Tribolium castaneum: one gene and its partners. The protein of the gene in region 1 purifies or fractionates together with the protein of each later gene. This does not show direct contact. Links are inferred from orthologs where the notes say so. Each region holds a gene or a part of one and is shown in the gene's direction. Other genes may lie near its edges.

Region 1 (7,157 bases):
TTCATGTCCAGAAAGTTTTATAGTTGATTTTGTTTCTTAATCCATTGTTGCAAATAGAATTTTCCGACAGTAAACACATTTTTCTTACAAATAAAACACGAACACAATCATACAAAGCTTTATTCAAAATTAAACGTCAGATTTGTATTCAAGGAAGGGTCAAGGTGTCCGTCCATTAATTCCTTTTCTCAATCATCTCACATTCGGGCAAGTTCTTCCGTTTATTGAAAAATTAATTATCTGTTTTCGATCAAGTTGAGCTTTTCCTCCAACAATTTCTCGTCCAAACTGTGTTTACACAAATACTCCCCGTTCAAAAAAAGCACAGGTATTTCAAACCTATACAACTTCAACCACCTCACATTCTCTTTTTTCGTAATATCAACAGTTTCAAACTGTACTCTACTAAGATAAGGCCCCAGTTTGGCCTTGACTTCGTCACACAAAGGACAAGGGTCTTTGGTGTACAATATTAATTTCGGTAGCTGATTACGCGGCAGATTCTCTTGCCTAATAAAAAACAAGTTAATTAAAAAACATTTATTTATAAAAATAACAGGTCGTTTTGCAATTGCCGAGGTCATCGCCAGAGATAATAAACTTACAACTTCTCAATCATAACCGAAGAAGCGCCTCCACCACCGTTACAAATCGAAGCAACCCCCTTTTGGCCCGGTTTCAACGCGTGGACCAGGTGGACAATAAGTCGCGCCCCGGACATGCCAATCGGGTGCCCCAAACTGACAGCGCCCCCATGCACGTTCACTTTGGCCGGGTCTATGTCTAGGAGTTGCTGGTTGGCCAAAACCACAACGCTGAAAGCTTCATTAATCTCCCAAAGGGCCACGTCCTCCTTTTTGACACCGGTGTTGCTCAAAAGACGCGGAATGGCCACTGCTGGGGCTATCGGAAAGTCAATGGGGTCACACGCGCCGTCCTCGAAGCCCACAACGCGGGCCAAAGGCTTCGCGTTGAGTCTTTTGGCAGCGTCCGCAGATGTGAGAACAAGAGCAGCAGCCCCATCGTTAAGAGTCGAGGCGTTTCCGGCGGTGACAGTGCCATTTTCCCTTTGGAAGACCGTCGCAAGTTTGGAAAATTTGTTAAAATCGACCCTTTTGTACTCCTCATCGGCGGCAAACACCAAATCGGGTTGCCCTTTTTTTTGGGGCACGCTCACACTGACTAATTCTGACGCAAATTGGTTGCTTGCGTAAGCCTCGGCGCTTCTTTTGTAACTCGAAATTGCGAAATCGTCCTGCTGTTGACGCGTGATTCCCAGCTTTTTGGCCGTATTTTCGGCACAATTCCCCATGTGAAACTTGTTGTAAACGTCGGTGAGGCCGTCAAAGACTATTCCGTCTATTAAATTCACTCCTCCGTACGGCGTGGGCCCCCTTTTCAAGTAGTATGGCACGTTGGACATTGACTCCATTCCGCCGGCTAAAACCACATCCTGGTGGCCAGCTTGGAGGCTTTGGGCCGCCAGCATAACGGATTTCATTCCAGAAGCGCAAACTTTGTTAATTGTGGTGCATATTGTCGACTTGGGGAACCCCGCAAAGAGGGTTGCCTGCCGTGCCGGCGCCTGGCCCACACCTCCCTGGCACACATTCCCCATGTAGACTTCTTTAATTTCTTCTTTTGGAATACCGGCGCGTTCAACGGCACCTTGGATTGCTGTTGCCCCCAATTTAGAGACATGGACAGAGGATAAGGAACCGAGGAATGACCCAATTGGGGTGCGAGCCGCCGAAATTATGACTACTTCGTTTAGTTGCGGTTTGGTGCTGTATGATCTGTTCGTGAGAGTTACGACCTGGGGGACAAATGGGCACTACTTTTGATTTTGCATGATATGACACCAACCTGGGATAGTTTAAAAGCAGACATTTTGAGCTGTTCGTTTAATAAATGCACTCAAACCATGTAAACTGTTAAGTATGTGGGGAAAAAGTGAACCAAAGAAGAGTATTCTAGTGAGGACTTTGCCCTTACTATCAGCTGATCGTCCCACACCAACGGTGCCAAATGCGCTCATTTAGGGCAAAACTCAATAATTTGGGGCTAATAGTCACAGGTCTTTAGTTAGGCAAAGAAATATAACACAAATTCTGATTCTATAATTGTTTATTGTAAAATAAATAAAGTACATTTGAGGAGACCGCCAGTCTTGGATACAGACGACACTATAATAAAACTAAAACTTCCTAAATCTCCTTTTTTAAAACGAGAAGTTCAGTAGAATATAATATTTATTTACAACAAATCGCTTCTAAAACTAAAAATAAAGTAAAATTGCCTATTGGAATGTACATGTTTTAAATGTATAAATTTTATTCAATAAAAGTTCGTCCTCTGGTGGGCGACACTGGCAGCGGTAAAGTCCCTGGCACTGACGTGTCAAGATTCAAAAATGGTTGAATCGGGAGAGAATTTTCAAGAATTGCACGAGAAAATCGCTGCTCTTTTTGAAAATTTCAAAGAAGAATTGAATACTAGAGACCATGATCACATGGGCTACTTTTTGTACAACGTAAATATCACCTCTGACGTTTTGATGTACAAAATCAAGTACGAAATTGATAACTTTATGAGAACGCATGAAAATGTGACAGAGACAAGCGAAAGGTAACATTTTGTGCAAAAAAATGTCGATTAACTTCTAATTTTAGTTCTGCTGTAAATGCAAAAAAGTCCGAGTGTTTGATAAAGTTGCAAACTCTGACTTCGATGCTGACGTGCCACATAATGGACGATTACAGAAAGAAAATGGAGGGAAAAAAATAGTTTTTGTGAATAAATTTGTAATAATTATGTAAATTAGAAAAAATCGTTTGAATTCTAATGACTTTGGCATTTGGGTCGGTAAAAGCGGTCCCTAGCCGGTGTTTGAGTAATGTCAGCTGATAGCTGACAGTCCTTGGTGAAGTGGTTCGAGGAGGAACGGTTCCCATGTCTTAGACTTAGTATATTGGTGTTTCTGCCGTGCTACTTAATAGCGAGGTTCTCAAAGTCGGCGCTGAGCTCGATTTAAAAAAATGTCATAACGTGAAAATCGCGAAAATGAACGTGGAACAGAACCGTTTGGACACGTTCGAAGAGTGGCCTCAAGACGCCGCTGTGTCACCCCCTCGAATCGCCAAAGCCGGTTTTTTCTACACCAAGCACGACGTCACCGTCGAATGCTTCTCCTGCCACTTGACAATTTCGGAATGGAACTACGGCGACCAAGTAATGGCCAAACACAAGACCCTCAACCCTTCTTGCCCCTTCGTCTTAAACCCAACTACCTCAGGAAATGTTCCTATAATATCACCTACAAACGTACCTTCCACCTCCGACTCGATGAAGGACGAGGCCGTCCGGCTCAAAACCTTCGCCAAGTGGCCCAAGCCCCACATCGTGGCCCCCGAGCGCCTCGCCCGCGCCGGCTTCTACTATCTCAACACGGGCGACAACACCAAGTGCGCCTTCTGCAAGGGGGTGGTGCGGGCGTGGGAGCCGGGCGACGACCCCGACCAGGAGCACAAGCGCCACTTCGAAGACTGCCCTTTCGTCCTCACCGAAATCGTCCCCAGACTCAGCCAAAACACCAACGGACAAGTCAAGACAGACTCGTCGTCTTTCACCAATCTGCATCTAGTCGCCAACGAAAATTTGCACTGTCTGGGAGTCCAGACGCACAAAGGCCCCAAAAAACCCAACTACGCCACCCTCGAATCGCGGCTGAGATCCTTCGCCACGTGGCCCCCTGACCTGATCCAAACCCCAGATATCCTCTCCCAAGCCGGGTTCTACTACGAGGGAATGGGGGACCAGGTCAGGTGCTTCCACTGCGACGGCGGCCTCAGACACTGGGACCCCCAGGACGATCCCTGGACGGAGCACGCCAGGTGGTTCCCCAGGTGCTCCTTCATCAAGCTGGTCAAGGGGCAGGAATTCGTCACCGCCTGCTCCCTCGAACTCAACGTCAACAGCAACCTGGTGAGCCCCAAATCAGCGACCTTGATTCGATGGTTATTTTAATATGCAATTATCGTTTAATTACGATTATCTGCGCCTTACTAGGTCATAAAAATAATTTGCGCAAATTCCGTTTATAAATATGACGTTTGGAAACTTCGCAAAATTGTTTTTTGTCACAGCTGCATTATCAGTTCTCCGGAAAATTTGTGTACACAATTAACCAAGAAAATTATTAGCCAAATAATTTTTTACAACTACGATTATAAGGGACAATTGCGCAACAATTCATAGACCGTCTTCACTCTTCAGTCCCTAGTTTTATGAATGAAGTCTAAACCGGATGTTCGATGTTTACACAATCGTTGTCCCATTTTCCCGAAAGTGTGAACCAATGTTTCTTGTCCCCGAAACCTCGATGGCTCAATGCAACGATTGCATTTTCGATATTTGATATGTAAACATTTCAAGGTGAAAATAGAAAAACTTGTTTTAGGTTGAAAACTTTTTATTCGTGTTCATTTCTCTATAATTTGTGGCGCCGCAAATGTGCAATGTTTATTATTGGATTACTTTGAAAAGCATGACGTCAGAAATGCAAGGACTTGACCAATTTTAATCGGACCGACGTTGCATCAAGTTTCAATTCAACACAATGATTAATTTCGCTTCCAAGAACTTTATAAATTTATTATTTCCATATGTTTTTAATTATTACTTAGTTGCTGGCCTTGTTCGTATTTGATCGTCCCATATTCGCCAACCTTGCACAATTTTTTTTCGATGTGTGAAATTGAAAAATTGCACATCCTTCTATGCACTCAAAGAACTTATTATCAAGAATGCATGACTCATGACATGAATTTGCATTGTTTTAATTCATGTGACTGTGAGACTGTTAGGTCACATGATGGATTATTTTTACCAGATAACGAGCGTATGCATAAACAGGATGATAATTATTGTTACAGTCACAGTCTTCACTTTTACGAAAATTAATAAATGTAAAAGATGGGATTAAATCTAAAAAAAATACCATTCTGTTTATTATTTCTCTTAAAAACTCAGTCAAATGTTTCATTCGAACACTCGGACGAACAGTGCCTCTTTAAGCACTAACCCCTGCAGCTCAGCATTCGGGGAATATGTTTACCTCCCATTTAATGGGGTCTAGAAATGGTTTGCAGTTAAAGGAGCTCAAAGTACCCGATTTTTAATTGCTATACTGAAAAGCCTACCACAGCTCGTGTGCAGTTTAAGTTAATATAAAAATAATAGCGGACAGCGGTCTCCTTCCCGGTTAATTTTCTTATGTAAATAAGGCATTTTTCCGTAGCAATTGATTTCCTGTTATTAATGGACTAGACAAAGAGTCCGTCCCTGGTTTACGTAATTGTTATGACAAAGGCAGTAACTATGCAAGTGGAAAAGAATCCGATGGGCGTTTCCAGACCACTCAAACCGTTATAGAAAAGGTCGGAATGCAGTTCGAGTTAAAAATGCCCCAAAAAAATTTAATAATTCGCCCCAATTTCCTGGATTAGCTTATCTTATCTGAAAAAATCTTGGCGCCAGAAGTTCGCCGAACTGTCCCAACATTCCACCTTTCCGGGAATTAGGGACCGAAGAATTTACCTCTCGGCTTTGCCTCTTTTCGTAGAAACCTTGTCGGCTTACAAAAGCGGCAACATAATGAAATTCTCTGAAGAAAAGAAATTCCATCTCGCAAGATCGGCGCCATAAAACGTTTCAATTTGTGTTTCAGGAGGAGGTCGACCAGAAGAACTACCCGAGTGTCCAGTCGCGAAAGCGCGAGGTCACCGAGCAAGAAATCCAGGAGCATATGTTGGGGGAAGTGGCCCTGTCGGCCCTTAGCATCGGCTTGAATGTCGAAAGGGTGAAAAGGGCGATTCGGGAGAAGTTGGAACAGACTGGCCGCGGCTACTCACAGCCGGACGCTTTGGTCGAAGCCGCTCTCAATCTCCAGCACAGCGAGGAGGACTTGTCCGATGATCAGGACACTCACGTGAAGAATGTCGTAGAAAATGTTTTAGATAATATAATTGCACGGAGTTGTTCGAGTGAGATTAAAACGGAAAACGAACCGATAGTTAAGGAATCAAGATCCAATAAAACTTTATCGCTAGAAGAAGAAAATCGAATTCTGAAAGAGGCAAGACTGTGTAAGATTTGTATGGACGCCGAGGTCGGTATAGTGTTTCTGCCGTGCGGACATTTAACGACGTGTGTTAATTGTGCACCGAATTTGGAAGATTGCCCTCTATGTAGATCCGCCATCAAGGCCACTGTTAGAACGTTTTTGTCATAACTATTTATTAAACTCAATAAATTTATTTTATAACACGACTGCTTTCATTCAACTCCAAAGCCTTTGTTTCCTATCGGTGATAACATATCACAGCGGAATAAAACCGCCAAACTGGATCAATCAATCCAGTTATGGCCCCGGACCGCCCAGTTATGTGCAGCGCCGGAATTGGCAATCTCTCAATTTGAAAAGTGAGTATTAATGTCCTTGTGATGTAATTCGAGTTACGAAATTCTGTGGGAAATCAAACCCGGCTTGTGGTAAGGGCAAGACCCAAATGTTGCCTTAAGCGACGGAGTGCTCACGTAGGAACACCCACTTGGTTGCCTTTATCGAATAACACCCAAGTAGCACGACTTGGTCGCAACAAAATAACCGTAATATTTGCGTTACGGTTCTTTCTCAGTACAACTCGACTGTATCAACAATTTTGTGTTTTTCGAAAGGCAGATGTTTGGGGAACAGGTGCAAGGCCAGGTGCGGGATCATCTGCTGGGCCGCATTCCTTGACAGACCACGAGCCAAATAATTGGTCAAATGGAGACAATGAGTTGTTATTGACTGATAAAAGCGATTAAACGTGATCTTCGTACTCGCAGGTCGATGCCTTCACAAATATTCCTTTTGTAGGCAAATTGCGCGCCAAAGCGGCTCCGACATTCTATTTTTTAATTATGTAACAACAATAAAACACTCCAGTTTTATCAGGGAACGAGAAAATTTCAATTAGCTTTGTTTATTACGATGTATCTTGCATTGTAAAAGTTTTTTTTTAATTATTGTTGCGATAATACAGTAATACTTCAAGGTATTTTTTTATCTGTTTCTCCGAAAAATTCTATCACCCTTATACTGCGTCATTATT
Region 2 (6,957 bases), on another chromosome or scaffold:
AATCACCAAATTTGCTGCTCTCTTTACCACCTTCTAATTCTAAAACTTATTACTGATTCAATACATCTTTTGAGAACTTTTTAAAGTCACCAACACAAAGTTATACACTAAAATTATTTCAACTATACAACAGTTTCATTTCCTTTGCGTCCACTCAAATGTTCGTTTTCCAATTCTGCATCGAATGATGAAAAATAAATAGTGGTTTCCATTTAAGATTGAAAAACTTATTGGAAGTAAATTATGAACACTCTGTAGCAATTCAGATCAATCAAACTTAATTAGTAAGTCTCTTGGACCTTGTTCAACACGCACTTTGTAATAATTTCATTCAAAAAGCTCGGTTTCCTTTATTATTATTATTGTTATATTATTATTATTATTATTATTATTATTATTATTATTATTATTATTATTATTATTATTATTATTGTTATTATTGTTATTATATTATTATTATTATTGTTATTATATTATTATTATTATTATTATTATTATTATTATTATTATTATTTCCTAATTTTTTAAATTAAAGATGTAAAACCATTTTTTTTGCAGCGATATGAAAAAACTTTAGGGACAGGTAAGAAACTAAAGGGGTATCTTAATGATCGCAAAAAGTAATAGCATGCCGTTAAAAAAAGTATCCATGAAATAAACCCACACAATAAAGGCGCACAAGAAGAAAGTCTACAGAAAAAGCCCACACAGAAAAAAACTCACACCGAAAAATATTCATACGGAAAAAAACACATAGAAAAAAACATACAAACACAAAAGCCCACCCAGAATGAAAAAAGACCATTCAGAAAAAAAACTCACATGAATAAAAGCCCCACTGTCCAAAAAGCTCACGGAAAAATTAATTCACTGGAAAAAAAGCACTTTCTGCAGTCGTCGATACATTTATAAAAATTATAATTATTCGGATAACAATAAAAATATTTTAGAATCATTTTTTGTTACAATTCTATTAAAGAAAAGAGTAAATTAGTATAATGAAAAGGGATACTGTGCAATTTTTTAGACAAAGACATCTTATTTTTATTTGTTGTGATTTTTTTCTTTTAGTTATAAATTTAAAATTTTGGAAAAATTATCACGGCTTTTCAACGTCTAGCTTGACCTAAACTGAGTGATCTGTCCGCATCTATCATTCTTTTCGCATTAATTTGTTGAATTGTTAAAGTGATGTAGGGGAGAGTAGAGTAAAATGATCCCAAAAATCAAGAAAACTAGTAGTAGTAAGGTAACATTATTTTCTGGCCAAAAAGTAGTATACGTAGTAAGAAAAGAAAAATCTGGTCAAATAAAATAGAACTGCACAATCTGATACACTTTAATGTGTATCTTAGTTGTTTTATTAATACAGCTAGCATAATCTAATGCAATTTTCAATTAGGTGTAACTGTTTTTTCAACTACATAGAATTCTCTTAAAAGATAAATAGCACAAAACAATTTTTAGTGCAAAATTTTAAAATTTTGCGCCAATTATTGTTTGCACGATGAGTCAATTATAATTTCTCAATTCTCAGCGTGAATTATGCAGAACTTATCACAACATCTTTCTGACCCTGAAGCCACCAACTACGACCTTCAGAACTCTATTTACATTCCCATCATCGATAAAGACTACCAGTTTTCAAGCTACTGTTAAAATGTTAAAAACAACTGTGATTTCTTTACTTTTGATTGGTGTAACACGAGCTGAAACCATTTCTTTCAAAAATGTAACACTGGAATGGAAAACAAGCACAGATCGTAACACCACAACCATTCCATCATCAGCCAACCTTCGAGACAACATCCCAAAGCTTCAGACCGAGATTTCGGTGGTTTTGAGTGGTTTAGTGCCTGTTTTATACCCAAAATCAGTGAGTGGTGTACCAACTTTAAAATCACTAACAGTATCAAACGTCGGCTTGAGAGAAATAAAACCAGGAGCGATTGAAAATTTACCACTTCTGGCCCATTTGATTTTAAATCGCAATGAGCTCAAAGTTATTGAACGAGGAACTTTCACAAACTTAAACCTGACAAGTGTGAATTTAGGTGACAATGAAATTTCCAAACTCGAACTTGGGGCTTTCAAAAACCTCAAAATTCACCATCTCACACTCAGTAACAACAAAATTTCTGAGATTCGAAACGGGACTTTTGAAAACGTCTCACTCCAAAGCTTGAATTTGTACGGAAATGGGCTCCGAAAAATCGACGGACCAATCACAAACTTAACAAATCTGGTCCTGAGCAACAACAATTTGACCGAAATCGATTTGCATTTCCCTGATTTAAAATATCTCGACTTGAGTTTCAATTCCATTCAAGTTCTAAAGCCCGGAGACTTGAAAAATCTTCCCGCACTGGACACGTTGGACCTCACCGCTAATACCCTTCACCACGTCCCTGAAGGTGTCTTCAGTCAGTCGAAACTGGTAACTTTGAAACTAAATTACAACCAAATCGCGAAAATCGAACCCAAGTCATTCGACGACATGTCTCAGCTCAGTGTTTTGCACATCGACCACAACAACTTAACCCAATGGGATGACAAATGGTTGAGTAATTCCCCCAAGTTGGCCTACATTTTCGCCGGTTTTAACCGAATTGGAGCTTTGCCGGGCCAAGCCTTCCGGAATTATCCCCAAATGTACAGCATTGATTTGCAAGGAAATTTGATTAAAGAAGTTTCACGGGAAAGTTTCGCGGGGTTGGAGAAAGTGGTGAATTTTAGTTTGAGGGATAATTTGATTGTGGATTTGGACCCAGAATGGCTGGCTAATGCGACGGTGGGAAGTGTGGATTTGAGTGGAAATAAGCTGGGGTGTGTGGAGGGAAATTTAGAGGAGGCTTTCAGAAGGGTGGACTTTGTGCATCTGGAGGGGAATCCCTGGCGGGAGGATTGTGTGGAAAAGATTAAAACATTTCTTTCCCAGTGGCCAAAAATAAAACGCATTGTTAGTTCTGTGTCACAACAACCAATTTGATCTAATATTGATTAAAAACTTTGTTTGTAGTTTTATTGTTGTCCCAGAGCGAAATTATTAAATTTACCGCCTGTTTGAATGGCGTTCTACACGATTGCGTCCTATGTTTAGTAGGATATTTTCTGTTTTGATTAAGAATTTAATTAAAGTATTAACGTAAAAAATTAAATTTTGTTGTTCCAAATCAATTCGCAGCCAATTTATCGATATCGCAGTCATCTTTTTATTGATTTACTGTTTGGCTCATGTCCTTTGATTAAAACCTAGGGATTTTTCGCATGGATGCCATCACGGGGAAGTCCCTTGTTGAGTTACGTGTTTTAATCAGTTTATCGAATTAATTGTTATTTAAAACCAACGACAATGGGTGGATTGTTTTCAAGCCAAGGAAATGATTATTCCGACGATTCGTGTTCCGAAGAGGAAAGCAACGAGGTGTCGTGCAAAAATCAACCTACCTTTGGTAAATTTGTTTATCAACTTTTGATCTCAAGTGTCATTTTTTGCAACATAACCCCACTTTTTGTTACGTATTTAATTCCAGTAATTTAGTATTAATTTGAGCGATGTTTTAGATGAGGACAATTGTTTGGACTCCACTGACACCATAGACGCCAGTTTATCGCAACCAGCGATGCCAATAACGCTAAATGTGGACCAAGTTATGTCCATTGAAAACGACTTGGATGACTACGAGAAGGTAGTTATTTCTGGGAGCTATCCTTTAATAAAGAATGGTTACAGGTGGCCCTTGTGTTTTTGATTTACGAAGACCCCAAATCTGCGTTTGTTCAACTAACGAAATTGCTCCAAGGGTCCCATGACAAACTCTTGTATAATTGGGCAATTCATGAGAACTTAGCCGGTCGGAAGTGGCAAGAAAAGCTGGTTGAGGCACTTTGCATCATCCAGAATTACCAAATCATATCAAGTTTGGGCTTCAAACGGGAGGATTTAACCGCTCGGTTTTTACCGCACCACATTTTCACGTACGCCTATGTGAACAAAGTCAGAAAGGCCCTCTATTTCGTCTGCGAGGCGTTGCAGCAGAAGGACGTTGAGAATTTGCTCAACTTGGCGTGTAAGGACTTCAGGGAGAAGGGGCTGGATTTTAAGTGCATTAATGCGCAATTTTTGGAGTTGTATTTGCTGCATTGGGAGACTGTGGGGTACGTAAAACTGGACGATTTGAGTAATTTGTGTAGAGTTCTCAAGCAAATTGACCAGTTGGATATTTGTGATAAACTGAGAGAAATTGTGCCAATTGTGCACAAATCTGCTGAGAGTAGAAGTGTAGATAAAAGAGTAGATTCTAGTGAGAGTGAAAAAAGACAGTCAGTGAGTGTGTTTGAGGGAATTTTAGATCCAAAGTCCAGTTTGCTTAGTCTGGCCTCGCTGGAGACGTCGCATATCAGTGCAGACAATGCAGCTTTTGTCAGCGATGAAAATAAATATTTTATTGATCCAGAAAGACCTGGCATTTGTTTGATCATCAATCAAGAGAATTTCTACAGAGAAGTGGACAGAAAATATCGAGTAAGTTGGGGGAGAGGTGTTTTGTACCATGCTCTCAAAATTTCTGATCAAAAATTGACAAAAGAAAAAAATATGTAAGGTTCTAAGGAGTAACTGTTGATTTGTCATTGTTTTTTATAGTTAAAAGACCTTTAATTAAGCTCTGTTTTCTGCAAAAATTACGAAAATCCTTGTAGGGATTGTCACTTGCATTTGTCTTGCCAAGGTATTTTGAGAAAACAAAAAAAAATTATTAATGCGTTAAGCAGTGATTGTAAGTTCATCATTTTTTTACAACCAAAGGGTGTTTTAAGAAAATATGCTTGGAAAAAATACTGTTTGCTTGTGAAAACTTAAGAAGAGTAGGTAATAAAAAAAATTACAATTGTATGTTCTTTCTAAATCCAATCTTAATTATTATCTCTCAGACTAGTTGATATCTCGTATTAAATATTTGTAACCAAGCATTAACGAGGTAAAAACTAAAAATAATTTTAGAGTTTTTATAAAAAATAAACGTTTAAATGAAAAAATGAAATGAAACTGTATGCTGTTTTCTAAATAAAATAATAAATGGGCGGTCTATTTCCAACAGGTAACATCTCTAGCTTTACTTAACTTTTCAGGAAACGAGTGAAACGTTTCCTGAAAATAAAATAAAATAATAAAAGTAAGGATAAGAATTTAAGTATAAGGTTTTCATAATTTTGATTAGCATAAGTTAATGCAAAAGAAATGCATATTTCTGTATTAATAAAGACAAGGACAAGCTTACAAAATTAAGCGAATGCTTCTGCTAATTGTTTGACTTATCAAATTATAGACAACTGGAGGCAAAAATAAAAGCTGCAGCCATATACAGAGCTTAATATGTATTTTTTATACAATTTGCAATAATTTAATAACTTATTTTTTAAAGTAAACAAGTGTAAAGTAAACAAAATCATAATATAATAGTCCTCAAAAGTACTCACATTCACATTATTTTCAATTATTATTTTTTGCAGGCTAAGAACTTTTAAATTCATAAATATAAAAGATTTTTTGTTTCATCTGTTTTTGAAGTAAAGGCGTTAATAGATGAAGATCTAACATGTCGCGGTGGAAATTTTTTAAGAGTATTCCATATTGAGGGAAACTCTTCTTGTATTCTTCTGCTGAATTAGCTCCATTCTATTCCATTAGGAATTTTTGTTAATGTAGGATTAGGTATTCCCCTATAAAAGTTTCATAGCTTTATTTTTTTATTGCCAGTTACATTTTTATCTGTTTTTTTTTTATATATAGCAGTATGTATGTTTATCAATTATTTTGTAATAATTTTACTATAACTAAAAATTCGGATTCTTTTTTCTCACGCAAAGATTCATGATAAGATGAGAAATCCCGAGGCATTCTACAATGGTATAATTAATAATTATTCTAACTGTAGAGTATTTTATTTTGCATCTTTTACGTGTCTTCCTTCTCTTATGAAATCCTTAAACCAGAAATTAAATTCAATTTACTTGAAGGAAGTGATACTTCAAGTTTTTTAAGTGACACACAAGAGACAAACAATTCCTTAGAATCATAAGCAAATGCTTTAAGTAAAAGCATTTTATTAATACCACCCATTAATCCAGTCTTTCCGAGTCATTTATTTGATCAGAAATTTAGTAGAAAGCACTTCGTAATGTTTCTTCATTACTAGCACTTGCTTCCACGCCGGGACAACAAATTAGAACTTAGGATTGGTACACAATACGACCGAGACAAGCTTGAAGCCACTTTCCGACAATTTGGTTTCAAAACTATTGTAGAAAATAATCTCACTCATTTGGAAATGCTACGAAAAATAGAAGAAGTAGTGCAAAGCGTTAACGATGAGTCGAGCCTTTTCATTTCTATAATGTCTCATGGTGATGTAGGTTGGTTGATTTATTTTCCTTGTGATGCAGTTATTTATCTTTTATCTCTATTAGGTGTCGTTTACGGCGTTAATAGTTGCCAAGTCGACGTCAAAGCAATTAAACGTGTGATGTGTACCAAAAATCGCCCACATTTATCGGGGAAACCCAAAGTTTTAATCCTCCAGTCTTGTCAAGGCACCAGATGTCAAAAAAGTACGATTGGTTGATTCTTGTAACTTTATAAAAATTTATTTTTATTGTATTAGTTCAGTCAGATGACGATGACATTGAAACAGACGGTCCTTCGTCACCTGTCCAAGAATCAGTCCCGCCAATAGCAGATTTGTTCACTTTCTGGGCCACAGTTCCAGGCTATGGTGCAATAAGGAACAAAAAAACAGGATCCTGGTTTATTCAGTCCTTGTGCGGAAAAATGAAAGAATTGGGGCATAAGTACCATTTCGATGATATCTGCACCAGTGTTATAGGGGACGTAAGTAGGAAAAAATGGTGCCAAGAGAAGGACGAAGTGGCAATGGTGCCAGAAAAGGAGTCCACATT
Region 3 (5,676 bases), on another chromosome or scaffold:
CCAACGTGGAAGCGATATGAAGGTAGGTGTATTTTATTGCTGTGTCGTATTTATTTATTTCACAAACCAATAATTTCATAAAACTTAATTGCAATTAAAATCTTTAAATGCGGTGTTGAAAAGTGATAGTTTGAGTGACACATTTTAAATTCAGTAACTATAAATAAAATAAAACACTCAAATAATTTATTGCCACGTAATAATTTTGTCTTTAATTTCAATGAATGAAAGTGGCTTGCTCAAAATTTAATGCAAATAAACATTTATTTTTGGCTTCATTTTTATTATTATTATTTTTAATGCTACAAACGGTAGCCAACGTGGAAGCGATATGAAGGTAGGTGTATTTTATTGCTGTGTCGTATTTATTTATTTCACAAACCAACAATTTCATAAAACTTAATTGCAATTAAAATCTTTAAATGCGATGTTGAAAAGTGATAGTTTGAGTGACACATTTTAAATTCAGTAACTATAAATAAAATAAAACACTCAAATAATTTATTGCCACGTAATAATTTTATCTTTAATTTCAATGAATGAAAGTGGCTTGTTCAAAATTTAATGCAAATAGACATTTATTTTTGGCTTCATTTTTATTATTATTATTTTTAATGCTACAAACAGTAGCCAACGTGGAAGCGATATGAAGGTAGGTGCATTTATTTACTGAGGTATTGAATTTGATTTGAATTTGAATTGCCACATATTGAAAAGTATTGTGTATTTTTTATTTTGTTTAATATTGACAATCATTGCTTGTTGTAACTTTCATGCAAATAAAGATTTTTATTGGTGTTGTTTTAATTTTTTAAATGTCTTGCTACAAACAGTAGCCAACGCAGAAGCCATATGAAGGTAGGTGCATTTTTTTGCGTTTTATCTTGTGATGTGTTGAATTTAATAGCTTGTGTGCCATATATTATACCGTATTGTGTATCCTTTATTCTGTATAATATTTATTAAAGACGCTTGTTGTAACTTTCCTACAAATTAATTTTTTTGTTGGTTGTGTTTTTAATTTATTTTTTAGGTTTGCTACAAATGGTAGCAGATGCAGTACAAAAGCTAAGAGCATTTATTTAACGCAAAGTGAAAAAGGTTTGATTTTTGTGTACTATTTTTTCATTTCACAAACCAATAATTCCTTTATTTCCTTCATTTTCAAATAATCATTGTTTACCTCATCCTTATATCCTTTTTTCCTGGCAAGAATGCTCTAAACCTCCACGTGGTTCTTGCTGGACAAATTAGTTATTGACTAATTTTTAATTTTTAATTAGTTATTGACTAATTTGACCAATTAGAGCAATCCTTAAATATAACATTGTTGATTGTTTTTTACAACCGTAAAATTATGTCGCTTGTTGTAATTTTCATGCAAATAAAGATTTTTTCATTGGTGTTGTTTTTAATTTTTTTTAATGCTACAAACGGTAGCCAATGTGGAAGGGATATGAAGGTACGTCCATTTTATTTTTGTGTTGTTGTCTTTTTATTTCACCAACCAATAATTCCTTAAAATTTAATTGCAATTACAATGTTGTGTACACCGGCTCTAAATACGGTGTTGAAAAGTCATTGTTTGAGTGACTCATTCTAAATACAGTAACTATAAATAAATCAAACACTCAAACAATTTATTGCCACGTATTAATTTTGTCTTTAATTTCAATGAATGAAAGTGGCTTGCTCAAAATTTAATGCAAATAAACTTTTTTTTTTTTGGTTTCATTTTTATTATTATTATTTTTTTAATGCTACAAACGGTAGCCAACGTGGAAGCGATATGAAGGTACGTCCATTTTATTTTTGTGTTGTTGTCTTTTTATTTCAGAAACCAATAATTCCTTAAAATTTAATTACAATTACAATGTTGTATACACCGGCTCTAAATGCGGTGTTGAAATTAATAATTTGAGTGCCATTATATATTGAAACGTACTGTGTATTTATTATTTTGTTTAATATTGATAAAAGTAGCTTGTTGTAACTTTGCTACAAACAGTAGCCAACGCAGAAGCGAAATGAAGGTAGGTGCATTTTTTTGTGTTTATCTTGTGAGGTATTGAATTTAATAATTTGTGTACCATATATTATAACGTATTGTGTATTCTTTACTTTGTGTAATATTGATAACAGTTGCTTGTTGTAACTTTAATGCAAATAAAGATTTTTTTAATGGTGGTTTTAATTTCTTATTAATGTTTTGCTACAAACAGTAGCCAACGCAGAAGCAATCCGAAGGTAGGTGTACTATATTTTTGTGTTGTATTTTTTTTTCATTACACAAACCACTAACTCCTTTATTCCCTTTATTTTCTAAAAATCATCGTTTACCTCATCCTTATATCCTTTTTTCCTGGCAAGAATGCTCTAAACCTCCACGTGGTTCTTGCTGGACAAATTAGTTATTAATTTGACTAATTAGAGCAATCCTTAAATACGAGTTTACAAAATCCAGAAATTTTATAAAAATTAAAAAAAAATCGTTAAGGTCCCAAGGGGTGTTTGTCAGAACATGATTGTTTTACGGTCGAAGGCCCTATTGGAGGGCTTAATCTCCTGCAAAAATAAAGAAAATTGGAAGATATAAAGAGAGTGTATTGCTTGAATATGAGAATAAATGCAGAAATTAAATGCAATTAAGTTTTAATTTGTAATAGAAACACATTAGAATGGTCAGGAGATGTTTTACAAATGTGATAAGCAAGTCAGCGTAACAGCTTGTTGACGAATGATTTACGATTATTTTGATAATTTTTCTGGTGTGAACTTGGCTTTAGAAAATGAGTATGGTGGGCGCAGCAATTGTCTGGTCGACTGTAATGTTCATAGTACCTGCATCATTTTTGGTGCTATCTTCACCGACATTGGTAATGTGACGTTTAGAAATGACACTGACAGATTGAGGTTAAAAATATGCCAAAATCGACCTAAAAATAGGAGTGTGTGATGTTTTAAAGACTGATTCATGTAATTGCTTGTCTCTCGGTTGATTTGAGCTCTAAAATAATGTCAACGAACTCCAATTATAAAATGCTGTGCAATGAAATTGCAAGTATACGTTGTCCAAGTGAACAATTGAAAATCCTGAAGGAGAGGTACCAAACTGTGATCAACTCTAACAGAAGGTTGGAGAACATAAGGTCGCTGTCAGAGCTAATTAAAGTTTTGGAAAAACGAAATTATCTCAACTCTAGTAACACCCAGGCTTTGAGTGACATAGCTAGTGAGTTTAAACAACCGGAAGTGTTACACAGTCTCAGAAATGTTCAAATTGAAGACAATCACGTTAATTGCAACGCTTGTAATAGTCATAGTCCAGAGGAATACTCAGGTAGTCGCCTCACTTTACTGTAATTATAATGCAAAAATGTGAATTTAGGTTTTGTTAGAATACCAAAAAGTACCAAGGATAGGGTGTACAAATGCATAGCCGAGGGAATCGGCCAAAAATGGACCGACTTTGCTCGGGCTTTGGGCATCCCTGAGGGCGACATAGACGACTTAAACACTGTGAGGAGCACATCAGCTAGGGCCTACAAGATTTTGGCTTTTCACGAACAAAACTGTGATAGATATAGGTGGCGTAGTAAATTATTGGAAGCTTTAACGGACGCAAGGCGGAAGGACCTCAGATTGAAAGTGCAGGATATATTCGATTTTCCATAATTTATAATTGTTAACGAGCTGTTGTTATTTTTATAAAAATATAAAGTTCAAACAAGTGTCTCGTCTTTAATTATATACAAACGCAACAATATCCTGGCATACAAAACGAGATTAATAAAGTAGAAAATGAAATAAATATATTCAAATAAACCATGGGAAATCAATACCAATACGAACATTCTCAAAACGAAAACATTTCAACGGTTACTCTAATTAAACGGTGTATGAATTCTTGGTAACGGAACCAGACTTGTCCTGAGTGTCTTTGTGGATTTGGTATCCTAAAACCGTCCTTGGCGGTATATGCAGCCGCTCCTTCAGTTTTTTGCCGATTTCGATGACAGCCGCGCTTTTTGTGGCGTCGGAAGTCCAGACCCCTGAAATCAACAAATCGAAGTGACCCATGACTTGTTAAGTTGGCAACAATTACTACCCAATATCGCCAACCTAGATTAGTCACCTACCGATCTTATCACCCTTTCCTCGAATATTGACTACCGCCCCGCAGATTTCATCCGAATGCTCGAACGCTTCCCCAATTAGACACAAGATCTGAAGGAGGTCAAGTGTGAAATTTAATCGGACGTTATGCAAGAACTTACAATATCAAGCCAGTACCGGTCAAGCTCGTTGGTCCTCTGTTTCTTGTCTAAGTTAATAAGCCAACGCCCCCCGCGTTTGTTCGCTTCATCCTCCCACATGGGCCTGATGCCCCTCTTGAACAGGGAATAGTCGTTCCCTTGTCTCAGCTCACTTGCGGGCTTAATGTGATTGTATAAACTGAAATTTGCCACAAGTAGCACTCATCACCGTGTCCTGAACACAATAACTACCTCCAGAAGTCCTCAACGGTCTGAAACGAGGCGATTTCCTTCTGGTTCTTCTCCCACGTCTGGCTCCTGTCATTCTCGTAGTACCAAAGTGTCCAGCAGTTTTGGAGCGGGTGTTTGATGGAAAAATCCTGCGCGATGTCTATGTCGTTCTCAGTCTTTAGGTCGTTTTTTTCGTTCTGTGGCGAAGCAACACAAAAAATTACAAGGGATGGTCATGTGAATGCAATATGGCAGAATTGCCGGGGCTGTGACAAATCTTGGAAAATATCAACAATTACCGATTGAAACATGACCCAAAGTTTTTATAGTTGGATTAGCAGGGCCTTACCTCGCTTTCTATCGAATTTGAAGACATTTTCTTAAAGTAATTCGCTAATCAGCGCGATGAAAGTTGGTTGCTTTTCCACCTATCACCGATTCTGTGCCAACTTTGTAAAATGAAGGAAACCGGCCGGTTGCATAGTGCCACACCAACAGCGGGATTTTCAAATACCAAACTTAAGCAGATTCAAAAAAACTTCCTTAAATACAAGCAAACGTTTATTTTAAAATGTACCAAAAATCATAAAAACTCGCCAAAAGTGCGAATTAAAATAGCCATTTTATAAATTTAAACAATTGATATATGTATATAATGTGTTGCCTACCCTGTCAGTGTCCAAATTAGATGATTTGTAGGCTTAAATAGCAGGTGGATAATTTTCCTATTGACCGTTATTAACTATACATATGAATTGCCTGTCATGTTATGTTACAATTTTGTAATCGTGCGATACTGAACCCATTAATCGACCATCTTTCTAGTACAGGCAACCAAATATACGCAGCAATTAAGCAATCTTTTTTGAAATGTAGGTTTCAAATCTGATATCCAAATTTAGAAGTTTTCATTTTAGAGCAGTAATAGAGCTTATGAAAAATGCGGAAAGTTCTAATATAATCAATCACAAAAACTTGAGCTGGTAGGAAAAATCTGTCGGTAATTTTAAAATCAGTCCAACAGTTAACAACAGCAAAAAATCAGGGCACAAAGAAGTAAACCAAAAAATAGGTGCATTTTTCAAATAAATTCTAATATTAGTTACCTACCTATATCTCAAAAGACTAGATCTGATAGAAAAATTCTGGTGGCTGTTTCAAAAACAGCAACCAACAGCAAAAAAATCTA

What was found.
Region 2: the proteins of inhibitor of apoptosis 2 (region 1) and Dredd purify together in Drosophila melanogaster (affinity purification with western blotting; 3 studies listed by BioGRID). This does not show direct contact. The link is inferred for Tribolium castaneum from reciprocal best matches to the Drosophila melanogaster genes Diap2 and Dredd.
Region 3: the proteins of inhibitor of apoptosis 2 (region 1) and uncharacterized protein LOC103312947 purify together in Drosophila melanogaster (affinity purification with western blotting; 3 studies listed by BioGRID). This does not show direct contact. The link is inferred for Tribolium castaneum from reciprocal best matches to the Drosophila melanogaster genes Diap2 and Fadd.

What each region holds. Positions count from the first base shown.
Region 1 is NC_087397.1:2,707,185-2,714,341, reverse strand, and holds inhibitor of apoptosis 2, read left to right. Parts: upstream 1-3,063; coding exon 3,064-3,984; intron 3,985-5,728; coding exon 5,729-6,292; downstream 6,293-7,157. Other genes in the region: Acat1 (acetyl-CoA acetyltransferase, mitochondrial), read right to left, coding at 237-510, 606-1,816, 1,867-1,890.
Region 2 is NC_087398.1:10,956,994-10,963,950, reverse strand, and holds the start of Dredd (caspase-8), read left to right. Parts: upstream 1-3,240; 5' UTR 3,241-3,352; coding exon 3,353-3,452; intron 3,453-3,461; exon of another isoform or gene 3,462-3,514; intron 3,515-3,564; coding exon 3,565-3,689; intron 3,690-3,733; coding exon 3,734-4,525; intron 4,526-6,197; coding exon 6,198-6,414; intron 6,415-6,468; coding exon 6,469-6,609; intron 6,610-6,662; coding exon 6,663-6,957. Other genes in the region: leucine-rich repeat-containing protein 15, read left to right, coding at 1,661-2,989. UniProt on the Drosophila melanogaster protein: Effector of the programmed cell death (PCD) activators rpr, grim and hid. May play an apoptotic role in the germline as well as soma. Fadd interacts with Dredd to promote cleavage of Dredd and is necessary and sufficient for enhancing Dredd-induced apoptosis.
Region 3 is NC_087398.1:10,611,552-10,617,227, reverse strand, and holds uncharacterized protein LOC103312947, read left to right. Parts: upstream 1-2,852; 5' UTR 2,853-3,015; coding exon 3,016-3,340; intron 3,341-3,388; coding exon 3,389-3,675; 3' UTR 3,676-3,731; downstream 3,732-5,676. Other genes in the region: eukaryotic translation initiation factor 4E-1A, read right to left, coding at 3,889-4,052, 4,140-4,227, 4,278-4,455, 4,509-4,684, 4,837-4,863.